Linked DNA regions of Oryzias latipes. The protein of the gene in region 2 interacts with the protein of the main gene of each other region in a pairwise test. Links are inferred from orthologs where the notes say so. Each region holds a gene or a part of one and is shown on either strand. Other genes may lie near its edges.

The links.
Region 1: the proteins of vti1b (region 2) and tyrosine-protein phosphatase non-receptor type 5 interact in binary tests that used the Homo sapiens proteins (3 or more experiments, as listed by UniProt). The two-hybrid records come from large-scale screens. The link is inferred for Oryzias latipes from reciprocal best matches to the Homo sapiens genes VTI1B and PTPN5.
Region 3: the proteins of vti1b (region 2) and trim59 interact in binary tests that used the Homo sapiens proteins (3 or more experiments, as listed by UniProt). The two-hybrid records come from large-scale screens. The link is inferred for Oryzias latipes from reciprocal best matches to the Homo sapiens genes VTI1B and TRIM59.

What each region holds. Positions count from the first base shown.
Region 1 is NC_019864.2:31,280,952-31,285,425, forward strand, and holds the start of tyrosine-protein phosphatase non-receptor type 5, read right to left. Parts: upstream 2,807-4,474; 5' UTR 2,779-2,806; coding exon 2,512-2,778; intron 2,255-2,511; coding exon 2,132-2,254; intron 2,037-2,131; coding exon 1,941-2,036; intron 1,808-1,940; coding exon 1,563-1,807; intron 1,173-1,562; coding exon 980-1,172; intron 576-979; coding exon 491-575; intron 364-490; coding exon 284-363; intron 193-283; coding exon 55-192; intron 1-54. UniProt on the Homo sapiens protein: May regulate the activity of several effector molecules involved in synaptic plasticity and neuronal cell survival, including MAPKs, Src family kinases and NMDA receptors.
Region 2 is NC_019880.2:1,875,668-1,880,103, reverse strand, and holds the start of vti1b (vesicle transport through interaction with t-SNAREs homolog 1B), read right to left. Parts: upstream 2,918-4,436; 5' UTR 2,710-2,917; coding exon 2,613-2,709; intron 1,688-2,612; exon of another isoform or gene 1,665-1,687; coding exon of another isoform or gene 1,625-1,664; coding exon 1,566-1,624; intron 808-1,565; coding exon 610-807; intron 536-609; coding exon 362-535; intron 1-361. Other genes in the region: retinol dehydrogenase 12, read left to right, coding at 3,957-4,171. UniProt on the Homo sapiens protein: V-SNARE that mediates vesicle transport pathways through interactions with t-SNAREs on the target membrane. These interactions are proposed to mediate aspects of the specificity of vesicle trafficking and to promote fusion of the lipid bilayers.
Region 3 is NC_019871.2:13,509,642-13,513,619, reverse strand, and holds the start of trim59 (tripartite motif-containing protein 59), read left to right. Parts: upstream 1-1,178; 5' UTR 1,179-3,033; coding exon 3,034-3,288; intron 3,289-3,360; coding exon 3,361-3,579; intron 3,580-3,812; coding exon 3,813-3,978. UniProt on the Homo sapiens protein: E3 ubiquitin ligase involved in different processes such as development and immune response. Serves as a negative regulator for innate immune signaling pathways by suppressing RLR-induced activation of IRF3/7 and NF-kappa-B via interaction with adapter ECSIT.

The DNA.
Region 1 (4,474 bases), on a different chromosome or scaffold from region 2:
TTTCCAGCTCAAAGCTCCTCTTCGCCCTCCTCATCTTTGCCACCGAAGACACACCTCGTTCTTCTCGTCCAAGTTGGTGATCATCACGATGATTGGACTTCTCTCCTGCCACACCATCCTCCAGAAGTCCCCCACCGTGTTCACAGTGGGACCCTGTGTGGCGATGTAGGCCTGCTCCTCGCCCCCGTAGCCCTGCAACACGGCGACAGAAAGCTTTTAGAACGACGTGAGAGCAAAGAGCGAGGCCCTGACCCCTGAGCACAGATCAGAAAGGGCCACTTACATTCAGATAGTTTGCATTGATGTAGGTGGACAGAAAGTCCTCTTCGTCCTGTGACTTCAGGATGACTCTGCTGTGCGTATCTGTGGAGAAGTCATGAATGAAGTTTGAATTCTTCTCTGGTTCAAATCTTTGGAGACACGTTTGAGCGCTTCATGCCAGGGGGATGGGCTCTATGCTTTCAGACTGCCAGCACATTGTTGCACTTACTGGGTAAGATAGTTTTGTAGCGGTTCTTTCTCACCAGCCCGGGGTAATTGTACTCCTTAGGGTCCACAAAGTTCATGGGAGTTTCCTGTTAGAACACAAGGAAGAGTCAGAGCTGAAAAGTCTGCATAATGTCCAGGGATTGGCCCAAGGCAAACGCCAACAGATCGCCATCCAGCGGCCTTCACTCCAAACCCTTTCTGTGCTAATTGTGAATGACTTCAGGGCTTCTGATGATGTTTGGCGATCTCATTCATCGTGCCTCCCAGACAGTGGAATCCTCCGTGGGTTTATTGTGTACAAATGCGCGTCTCCTTCCACGCTTCGCCCACTGACAGACGCTGGAAAAGCTTCAGGGTGTGTGCAGAGCTCTGACCATGGGCTCTGACAAGCGTTGGTGCATGTGTGGGCGTGTGCATTAGTGCCTGAGTCTGTGTCGGAACCGCTGCGTGTCTCCTAATCTGATGTGTAGGATGCCGCGGTGCCGCTCACATAGAACTCCGCCTGCAGGCTCTGGTCATCCATGGCCCTGCTGTGCAGCATGGCGGGGGTCAGGACGTGCGACCCCTCCCGGAGGTACTCCTGAGCCGACTGGTCCCTGGGAGACAGCTGCGCTCCGTATCCGTAGGGCTCGGTGCAGCCCGGCGTGCACATGTCCAAGGTCAGGGAAACGTTGGAGCCTCGTCTGCAGGAGTCAGAGTTGGTGGGAACAAGGAATCGATCTGTTAGAAGCACATCTGCATTCACAGAAGGATGAAAAACGGCATTTCCTGTCAGCAGGTCGAGGAAGATGCTGGAACATGATGAAGCTCCAGAAGGAGTTCGGAGGCCGAACCAAACCACTGACGGAGATTTTTATCAGGAATTGGAGAAAAACGGAATAACTGGGATCAAATTGTAAAGAACTAACAGCCGTAAATAAAGTTATTATGATGAACAGGTGTAGTTCAGTGTGTTCTCTATGGAGGAAGGACCTCCACAGAATTTAGAGTCAGAAACGGCTGAAGTTTGCTGAAACTTTCATGTTAAAGAAACATTTTTCAAGCATTCTTCTCAGTTCCTGGTTCTCGCTGACCTCTCCTGTAGCCCCACGGGCGTCACTGTGAGGGTCGCGGCATCGCCATCCGCCCTGTGCTCCGAGTCAAAGACCGGAGTCTGAGGCTCAGCCTCCACATCCAGCAGATCCTCCTGAGCATCCGTCCACTCGGACAGCGTGAAGGAGGGCTGGCGGCTCACAGACTGCCGGCGGTCACCCATCTCTCTGGACACCATGTCTGTGGACCACAGTCCAGAACGCCACTTACACGCCATGTGGACGACCTGAGCATGGGTGCAGAGAAGACAGGAGGTGAGGCTTCATTACAGCATGGAATACCTAAAAACCCTCCAGGACCCGAGTCCAAGTGGAGAACAGCACCAAAGAAGCCGTTTTGAGGGTCCACCACAGTCGTACCATGAGGATGCAGATGGCTGCTCCGATGCCCAAGGTTCCCTGGACGATCCACTTGTGCTGCTTGGTGTTCGCCACCTCCTTCATCATCATCACAGACTGAGCAGAGCAGAGAAGCAGAAGGTTACAAACAGCTCATGGTGGACTCCTGTCTGAGGATGGGGGGTGAAGGGGGGGTTCAAAGTGACACTTACGTCCAACCCAAAGATGCGCTGGAAAGGCAAGAGGAAGCCAAAGTAGAAGTCAATGACGTGTAGGGCTTTATGGATGGAAGAGAGGGGGCCGTTTCCTTCCAGGAGGAAAAACACACAGTAACCCTGGAAACATGGCGGGGGGGGGGGGGGGGGGGGGGGGCAGTTTGAGCTAAAGTTTTGCAGCACCAATAATCGAGCAGACGCTCTGAGGTCGGGAGGAGACACACTGAAGCCTACTCCTGCAGCAGTGAGCAGTGTCGTCCTTCTCGTTTTTACATACAAAGACGCCAAAATAAAAGCTACAGCAGGAAGATCAAAGCTTTTATACTGAAGGAACTTCCTCCTCCTCATTTTACAAAGAGCAAACCCTGGTTACCTACCACAACTTGTGAGCTGATGAAGAGTGCAGCCCAGCAGTGGATCTCAACCACCAGAGCGAACACCTTCTGCAGGAAGGCCTCCTTTCCCTGTGCGCCGTCCCCCGGTGGTCCATCAGTGCCGTCCGTCAGCCCCTCGTTCTTCAGGACCCCATCACTCACTTTTTCTATCTTGGTGGGTTCATCCAGCCAGACGGGATCTTCATCCGGCTTCAGAAAGATGGAATCCTCAGTGTGCGAGCGAGTGGAGCTGCTCAGGCGGCGGGTCATGGTCCTCCGGTTCAGTGAGGTTCCTCCGTGTCAGGTGACCACTCTAGCTGATCTTCCGCCTCTGGGATGGCGTGTGGCATCGGATTGAAAAACTCTGAAGCACAGAGACATGAAGGTCTGAGATCTGACCGTCACGCTGGTCGTGGTTTGGATTCGAGGTTCCTCTGAAGTGTGTGCATGCTGCAACTCTCACCTTCACTCCTGCTTTTGAGTTTTAGCTACAGCTGTGTGGGATTCTGGTGTTGTGCGATTGTGTCTGAGTGTGTGTGTTTGTGTGTAGATGTCAAAAAGGGTCCGCTGCCTTTATATTCCTGCTCTGATCCACAGCTAAACAACCTGAAGAGGCTCTCATCTCCGGATCTTCAGGTCGCCCTTTGATCAGCCTCTATTCTATGTGTGTGTGTGCACGTGTGTGCATATGTGTGTACATGTCTGCGTGCATGCATGTGCATGTATGTGTGTGTAAAGAGACTGTGTATTGTGGAAAAATGAATCAGAGATAGTGTGTTTACAGCCTGGTCCGTCACCTTGGCAACAGAGTGGCTCTCATCCATCCTGAGCATTATCATCCACTGACACACACGCGCATGTGCACACACACACACACACACACTTCTGGTTTACCAAGCTGAGTGTTCACAGTCCTCTCCTGCTGCCTCATTTGTCCTCCAACTATTAATAAAGGTGTTTTGCAGATTGGGCTGATCACTGGGAACGTGTGAAAGCTTTTGTGATAACAGACCCGATTTCCCTCAGAAGAACTACGATGGCTCACCGGTGAGGGACGCCAGCGAAGGTTTCGAGTCAGATCACATGATCAGGCGGAGTCCTGCAGGTCGCAGCAGCTGGTTGAAGTCCGCCATTGTGAGTCGTTCCTAAAGGACACAAAACAGGAAGTCCACCTCTGAGCTTCACCACAGCCAGAGCGCTGGAACAACGGCGTGAGCCTGATGAAAGGACGGATCCAGCTCCTCTGAGGCGGCGCTGCAGATCCAGCTTCCCTGAGCTTCCTCTCTGCCTCGTCTTCCTCCTTCTTCTAACAGGAGGATGAGTCAGGCCGGACTTCATCCGGCGCCTCAGAGACAGATTCCTCCAGTCACATCAGCGTTCACACAGTCCGGCCTTTCTGCTCGGTCCTTCTGGACCCTGATGGAGGAGCTCACCGGAGCAGAGACCCACCAGCAGCACCGGATCTGTGTGTGTGTGTGTGTGTGTGTGTGTGCGTCCAGGGGAGAGCGGCTTCTCTGCTTTTCCTCCTCTCCTTTCTGATGACGCCTGTTGGCCCGGCTCGTAGCCATGGTGACGTGAATACATGCAACATAAATAAAGTGAACAGGCGGACGCGCACATGGAGGACAGGTTGAGTTCTGGAACTGAAGGTCCAGTGAGCTTCCAGCTCCAAACAAAAGGCAGATGGAGGGAAGAGAGGAAAAGCTACTGCGCTTTTGAATGTGAAGGTTGTCTAAAGCCGTGACGTAGTGAGGTTGGCGTTTTGGTAACTGTGGCAACAGACACTCAATAGAGCACACACACACACACACACTCTCATACAAACACACAGCAGCGATGTGGAGCTGTGACAACATTCAGGTTTGTCAAAAAGAAGCAGTGGTCTCTGCTTTTGGAGGTAAATATGCTTCAGGCTCTGCGTGTCGGTTCAGTCCAGACTAAAGTCCTCCGCTGGTCTCTATGAAGA
Region 2 (4,436 bases):
GAGGAGGAGGAAAGGAGGAGGAGGAACACGAGGAGGAGGAGGACAAAGAGGAGGAGGAGAAGGAAAGGAGGAGAAGGAAAGGAGGAGGAGGAAAGGAGGAGGAGGAGGAGGAGGAGGAGGAGGAAGAGGAAGAGGAGGAGGAAGAGGAAGAGAAGGAGAAGGAGGAAAGGAGGAGGAGGAGGAAAGGAGGAGGAGGAACACGAGGAGGAGGAAGAAGAGGAGGACAAAGAGGAGGAGGAGAAGGAAAGGAGGAGGAGGAAAGGAGCAGGAGGACAAAGAGGAGGAGGAGAAGGAAAGGAGGAGAAGGAAAGGAGGAGGAGGAAAGGAGGAGGAGGAAAGGAGGAGGAGGCGGCGGCCTCACTCTGTCTCTGGTTCGGTCCAGCTGCTCCCTCTGCCCCCCCAGCTCTTCGATGATGTCTGTACCGATCTGCTCCGTCTCCACGGCGATGCGCTGGCTGCGCTCGATGCTCTGCGTGGCGTTGTTCAGGTAGTCCGTCCCCTGAAGCAGCAGCGACCTCTGCGACTGCAGGTGTGTCTGCACCCCCCAGGGACAAACAGGAAGTCAGGAGGTTTCCAGAACACCTGTGAGGCGTGAAGGTCCACACTCACACTCTGCTGGTTCTCGGGTGAATAGAGGCCCTGGCGGTCGCCGTGAGACGTCAGGGGGGCGGGGCCGAAGCCGGGAGCAAAGGTTTTCATGTCCCTCTGCAGTTTGCCGATGTCTCTGCGGTACAGACGCAGCTTGGTGCTCATGGCGTTTCTGTAGGACGCCGGCGCCGCACGGAGCTCGTCCTCCATGCCCTGCAACTGTGAGAGAAAATCCAAGTCCATTTGATCAAAAAGATGGATTTTAGCGTCTGAAACGACTATAGAAACGCCGACAAGGTTCAAGAAAAATGGAATTATTAACTCTTCAGTTAAAAAAGAAATTACACCTGAGACATGGCAACCATTAATGGATTATTTCTATAGACAAGTCAACCTCTACTTGAACATTTAATTGTAAAATCTGCAGGGTATTTGTTTGTTTTGTTGTTCTTTGCTTTTCTTTTTTTTGGTATTGTTTGCTGTAAAAAATAAAAATAAAAAAGAGGGGAAAAAACAATAAAACATTTTTTTCTTTTATTTCAAATGAATGAAAAGAACAAAAAGAAATTTAAAATAGAAAACTAAACTTAAAGCTGCATGCAAACCATGTAACCATAATCACACTGTTCATTTCAAATAAATGTAAAAACAGTATGAAAAAAAGAAATTAAAGGTTAATCAGCTGATAAACGCACAATGACTTCATGTGAAACTAGAAGCTCGTTTTCCCTCCAACAGGAAGAGATGAACAAAATTTGATCAAATATTCTTATTTTTGTGTGTGAAACGCAACCAAATATTTGAACTTTGACTTCAAGTCTTCGCTGGTTCTTGACTGTAGCACCAAAAACCCCAGTTTGATTTTTTCAAAGCCTTTTTTAAAAATTAATATTTAATAATGAATGTGCCATCTGTTGTGTTTAACCGCAAAATGACTCCATGAATGTGAGCCGTCAGGAAGGAGGACATCTGCTTACCACCTCCTCAGCCTCTCCCTGCCGCTCATCGAAGCTCCTCACCAGCCTCTTCCTCTCCTCTGCAGACCAGAGCACACAGGTTACAGAGGCTCCTTCCATCCATCCATCCTTTCAAACACCCACTGCCATGAAAACGATGGGGGACATGTATAACATGTAGCTTATAACTGCCTTTCTGAGTAATTCTTTATTCAAATCGTTGTGAATCGGGAGCGGACGGAAAAAAAAGCAGTTTGAAAAACGTATATTTGCGATGTGTTGCACCTGTAACGTCAGGTTGAGGGTGTGAGAGGCTGTAAGCAGGAGAGCGTGTAAACAGACGGGTGACGGGAAGTGGGGGTGGGCTTACTCCTGCCGACAGTCCCGCCCACAACTCTGACGCAAATTTCTAACAAACTGCTGTCCTAGAAAACGACACAGCTTCTTGGCTAAATAAAAAAAAACATGATCATAATTTAAGACGACTTTGGAAATAGATCAAAAGATGATCAGAGTGAGATTTTGTTAGTTTTATTCATTCATAACCCAGGAGACGTACAGTAAATAATAAAGACCATTACCTTGTACATCAATTATAAACACCAGAGGGATAAATATACAAAAATAAAGTTATATGAAATGACAAACCTGAGCAAAATGACAAGTATGAATTGCTTCTTTGTTTGTATTGGGGGAAATGGATTGTTAGTAAAATCTAATTTAAGTCGATCAATCAAAACAATTGGGAGCTTTATTGCTAAATTTAGTTTTGTGAATAAAATACTTAGTAAAATCAGGAGATTCGTTAAATCAAATTAAGACGAATGTTTATTATCATAATTAATGAAACCAAATAAGATGTTTTTTCCATGCAAGTCCCAAAAAATATGCATCAACAACGTTTCCTCAAATGAAAACAGAAAGAACAGTTTTTCTGTTTTTAGCCTTTGCATAAACTGATTTGTTGGATGAAACCTATGAATGATCTTGAATGAAACCTCTTTCACTTTGTTTTTTAGTGAGATTTTAAGAACACAATGAGCAACAAAGAACATGATCCTCGTTTACCTCCGTGACATTTCGCGGCTCTGTCAGGAATTAACTTCAGCTCCTCGTACAAAGATCTGTAGATTTCCTGCAACTTCTCGAATTCCTCCGACGACATTTCTCAGGGATCAACCCGGATAGTTCCTCCTGAATACAGTTATTATTGCTCCTCCTGAATATAGATATATTCAAGAGTCTTAAAAGGTTTTTTTGTAGGTGGAAAGGTTAAGATAATCTGTTTGTTTTGCTTCCTTCATCATCAGAACCCGGGATTCTTCCGCATGATGGTCCTCGTGACCAAAAGGACTAAAATTCCGTAAAAGAATGAAATAATCGGTTGTGTTTTACACATTTAAAAATTAAAATAGTGTTAAAGATACCATTTTAAATTTATTTTTTATGAACTGTATCACACAATATTGCTTATCGGAATTTTAAAAGGGAAAAGAGTAAAGATTTCTAGTCAGGCAGTTAAATAGACACCTAACATTGGCTCCAGGGGAAATTGGGAAGTGTAGTTTATTGATTTCGTTAAACAGAAGAGTTCTAAATTGAATCTTTAGTTACAAGAAAGAAAATGTTTTGATTTAAATTTATGTGTACAATTAAAATTAAATTAGATGCGATTTCTATAATTCAATTTTTGCAACTGATTCAAATAGGCCTACTGGTATATGTGTTACTCAACTTACTATTATTTTAATAAATAAAAGGATATTTGTAAAAATAAAATAAAACCTTCACTACAAATTGAGTTTTTGTGCTGAAAATGCATTTTTAGTTTTTAAAAAGTTAATATTATTTGAATGTTTTATCTTATTTTGTTCGAGGACAACGTATAATAATGCAATAGATATTCTAAATAAATGTTATACAGAAATAACCAGAGGCAGCTTTCAGTTTTATGAAGTGATAACGGCAACTTAAATGGTAATTGATTCTAGTGATAATAATAATAATTGTTCAAATGATAATAAATCATATAAATGTATATACATTTATTTAAATTTTTTTTGCAAAATATAAGGCTGTGGGAGGATTTAGATTTAGCTGTTGTGTTTATATGTTTTTGTCTTTTTTTCCAATTTCTTTTACAAAATTCAATCTACAATAATTGACATTTTTCCATGTTTTACTTCGAATTCTGGCATTACATTTCTTAAATTAAACTATAGTTTTGTATTCCTTTATAATGAACCGTTTCTCACTCATCCTTTACGATTTTTCTTACTGTTTTTTAAACACATTTAGTTTGTATATATATCTTTTGGCATTCATTCTAATCTTTCCTGCTGCTACGTGAAATTAAAAAACAACATTTTTTTTGTATTTGACCTCCAATGTAAAGGACTACAAAACACAACAATGACTACAATCCCACAATCCTTTGCACGTGCGCTCTCGGTGCCGCTGCGCCCCTCCAGCCCTGACATCAGCTGCTCAGCCCCGCTCTGCCCACACATCCCTGACGTCCGGCCGGAGGCAGAGGCCCGTGGAAGCGCTCAGATGTGGGTCTTGGTGATCATCGCGGGGATCGGGGTGGTGACGCTGCTGCTGCTGCTGTTCGCTCCGCACATACGGTGAGCTGCAGCGGGGACCCGCTGTCCCCCCATCGCGGTACCTGCACTGCTGTGACGTCATCAGCACGGAGGCTGGCTTTGCTTTTTAACCCCAGAGGTGTTTATTTGAGTCAGCCGCTTTGATTTCGGTGTGAGTTTTGTCTCAAATCCGCTAAACGGTGACGGAATTTTGAGTGAATCAGAAAAACGTTTGAGCACCGGGATGAGGCGGCCGCCTTCCGTCTGAGCTGCTCGGGCCTATCAGGTGCCCGCACGTGGGAGGAGT
Region 3 (3,978 bases), on a different chromosome or scaffold from region 2:
ATATTTTCCGTTTCAGCTTTTAGTTTCACTGCTTCTGTAACAGTGACTTGATGACGATTGTATTACACCTCTCCACCAGAACCTGAAGCACCGGACTTTGGGCTCTGAAATTCTGACACCATAAACCCTAATCAACCAAACGATCTGTTCCTCCTGTAACTTCCTCTTTTTATCATTTAAGTTTTACAGCAAAAATCACAGCTTGCAGTATTGTTGCCATAGCTTTGATTATCACCGAGGGAGAATAGAACAACAGCCTTGTCACATAGGATTGTTAATCATAACCTTTGCATGTACTAAACTATAGCACAGTTCTTTTTAGGGTATTTTAGTTTCCTTAGACTGTGGTAACAGTGTAATTTTTCATTTTTAAGTAAAACTGTGCTTAGATGTTACATGTTTACCCTTCCCTTAGTCTATGCTAGTGTCCAGTTTGCAAAATAATCTGTATGGTTTTGCACATCATTCTGCAAAGTGAGGCCTGAAATCTTTCTGGGGTTTACCTGCAAACGTTCTCCGGATTATGCGGCGCAACCCCGGCTTTTGATTTTTCTAGACAGATCCATCGATCCCTTTTCGTGATACTTGAGAGAACATTAACTTTATTTCAGGAGCAGCAGGAATTAATCTGCTAATGTATATCAATTAAAGAGGGACTCAAAAGTCCTTTTTCTTGTGGTGTCCCAAATGCAGACTGGAGTTGTTCTTTGTGGGTTTCCCTAAATAATATATAAACTGGCAAACAAATTTGCTGTAACATGAGTACCCTGCAGTCCCCCTCTTTCTTCCTCTTACCAGCTAGGTGTACAAGCTTACCCCCCCCTTTTCAGTTTTTGTTACCTTGATACACTGTAGTGATGATTACACATTGTGCTCACGATCCTTCTGTTTAAACATAGTTTTTTTTCCTTCCTTTTTTTTCATTTGGTTTTGCAGCATTCCTTGTTAGCAAACGTGGTTTCAAATCTAAAACTATTGAAGGAAAAAAATAAAATGCGGCTTTGCCTGAGAACAAGTTTTTTGGGAAAGGCTGCAGGATGGGTTATCTTCAAGAAAATAAATGGTGAAACCCTGAGTGACTGCGTGTGTGTGCTCTGTTGGTGGAGAGGCGCCTGCGTCTGAAGTTCGGTTCAAATCGGTGACGGCGCCTGCTGATTGGCCAGAGAGACAGTTTGTTCGCATGCGCAGTTTCGTGGTGCATTTGGAAACTGTCAAAAAATTGTTTATCTTCTGTTGTTTGTACTTCCAAAAGTAAGATGTACCCAAAATCAGAAATATTTTTAGTATATTTCGTATTTTAAATAATTTTTGCATAGGTTTGTGCTGCTAAAATTACGCGTGCTTCCGTGTCTCTATCCGCAGCTTGTATTTAGGAGGGATTTATTCTAAGTGTCCCTGAAGGCAGCACCGGTAGGAACAGGAAAAGGGAAGCTCAGACGGACACTTTCCTTCTGAAGTGACGGTGAGTCTGAAACAAATAATTTCCTTACGAAAACATTGTTTACGCCATCACATCTAACAGGCGAACAAGACAAAAAACATTTCCGAGCTGACACTGAAGTAACATGATAGCTTTGCTAGCAGTGCTAAGTTAAAAGGATTTGAACTTGTTTTGGTAATTGCGAGCACAAACATTCCTGATGCTAGACTAGTGTTTTTAAAATGAGCTAAAAGTAAAGCTAGGCACGACGTGTTCACGTCCATTTGAACCGCGGCGCCAACTTTGTCCCAGTTTCCACGCACGGATCATGTTGAGCAGACTGTCCGGACTGAGGTGCTGGGACGGGGTGGCAGCTGGCATCGAGGCCGCTATTGTTCCTGCTCTGGCGGCTGTAACAGGAGCAGAGACGGTCCTCCTGATCCCCACACAACACGATGATGAGAGCCAGCAGAAAAGCTCAGAGGCCAAACCTTTAGAAACAAGACATTCAATTTCATTTAGCAAATAAATAGTAGAGCTCTCACATTTCCCTTTTGAAGGATTGAGCTCCATCTAGTCAATGTTTTTTTTTTTAATTATTTCTCTTTGAGTAATGACTGATAATGGCTGACAAATTAATCGAATGGGTTATGATAAGATTTACATTTCAATACATATTTTTCTCGCTGCTCTTTTTACCTTCTCATTTGGGTCTTCATCATTTATATTTCTCAGATTGCGCTTGTTTAGATTAAAATAAATATATTCCTTTATTTTAGGAATTTCCTGGAGATTTTAACTGTCCAGCCCAAAATGAAAAACAATTCCCTGTAGTTTGTATGTTGTTTTATTGAAATTGGACTGAAGGCATTTTAGAAAGTCTAGATCAGTGGTTTAGAACCAGCAGCTCTAGAGCCTCTAGTTCAACTCATTGATAAACAGTTGAAGGACAGTACGTATCACAAGTCAAACTAACGTATGGACAGATTTTTGAGCGCCACATATTAAAAAAAAATCAATTGGAGGTCAGTAAGCAGTACTGGAATAAATAATTTACTGCTGACATGACACTACCTACGACTAAATTAGCTGCATTGAGATGATCCTTATAGTACATGGAGGCTTTTATTTTGAAAGAAAGTATTGGGAACCTCTGTTTAAAGTTAACTCAAAGAAACGGCTATTTCCTCTGTGTTTTGTGTTCTTTTCTATTTATCATAATGACAACATAAATACAAACCTGTGTCTTATTTTTCCAAAGGGTGAATGAAGTAAGACCTTGTGGCTCCTGCTTGATAGTGGTCAGTAAGAAATCAACCAGAATTATTTAAAAATTTTTGGTTGAATGAGTTTCAATTTTTACAAGTAAAGGGACTAAAAAGTCTTTATTGCATTACCCTTCTTGATGGTCTAAAATACTTTATTTTTATTTTATTTTCAGATAATCCGATGACATAAAAAGTGTCATGGTGCTTCAAAATAAAAGAATTAATCATATGTTTGCTTTGATGCTTTATTTCCGTTGTGCGATGCGCTGTTTTCTTTCCGTTCTCCTGACTTTCCAGACTTCCCTTCCAGGCCTGCAGTCCTAATCCAGGCCTCCCGTCTCTGTCATGGACAGCCTGGAGGAGGACCTGACCTGCTCGGTGTGCTACCAGTTGTTCTCCGACCCGCGGGTCCTCCCGTGCTCGCACACCTTCTGCCAACCTTGCCTGGAGAACCTGCTGCAGGTGTCCACCAACTATTCCATATGGCGCCCGCTCCGCCTACCAATCAAATGCCCCAACTGTCGCAGCGTGGTGGAGCTGCCCCCGGCGGGCGTGGACGCCCTGCCCAGCAACGTCTCCCTGCGGGCCATCATTGAAAAGGTGTGGAGGAGTTTTGTGCCTCGGTGGGACGTTTCAATTTTAACGTTCTTTTTCTGTTTTGGGGGCTATAAGTACCAGCGAGATGAGGAGCCACGCCCCCCGTCCTGCCAGGAGCACCCCAGACAGCCCCTCAACATGTACTGCATCCAGGATCGCCAGCTGATCTGCGGGCTGTGTCTGACCGTCGGGCAGCACCACGGCCACCCCATAGACGACCTGCAGGCCGCTTTCGCCAGGGAGAAGGCCACTCCCCAGCAGCTGGCCGAGCTCTCCGAGCACAGATGGGCTGAGGTGGGCGGGGCTTTCATGGCGGAGTGGTTAGATCTGCAAGATTATGGCAAAATGTATCCAAAACATTCAACATTTTGGGGAAAAAGCTTGAAATAATCCAAAATGCTGATGAATTTCTGACTGACAGGCTCCCGCGCGAACCTGTCAGTCAGAAATTCATCAGCATTTTGGATTTTTTCATAACAAAAGCTAGAATAGAGACAGTTTGAACGTGCGGTTGTGTGAATTTTAAGGTTTGTGAGCTGGGGGAGCAGCTGGAGCAGGAAAAAACCCGATGCGAGGGTTTGCTGAGACAGGACCGGGACGACGTGACCCAGTTTTTTCACTCCCTGGCGTTGGTAATGGCCAAAAAGAAAGAGGCTTACCTGGAGGTTCTGGACAAAGCTGCTGCTGAGGTGT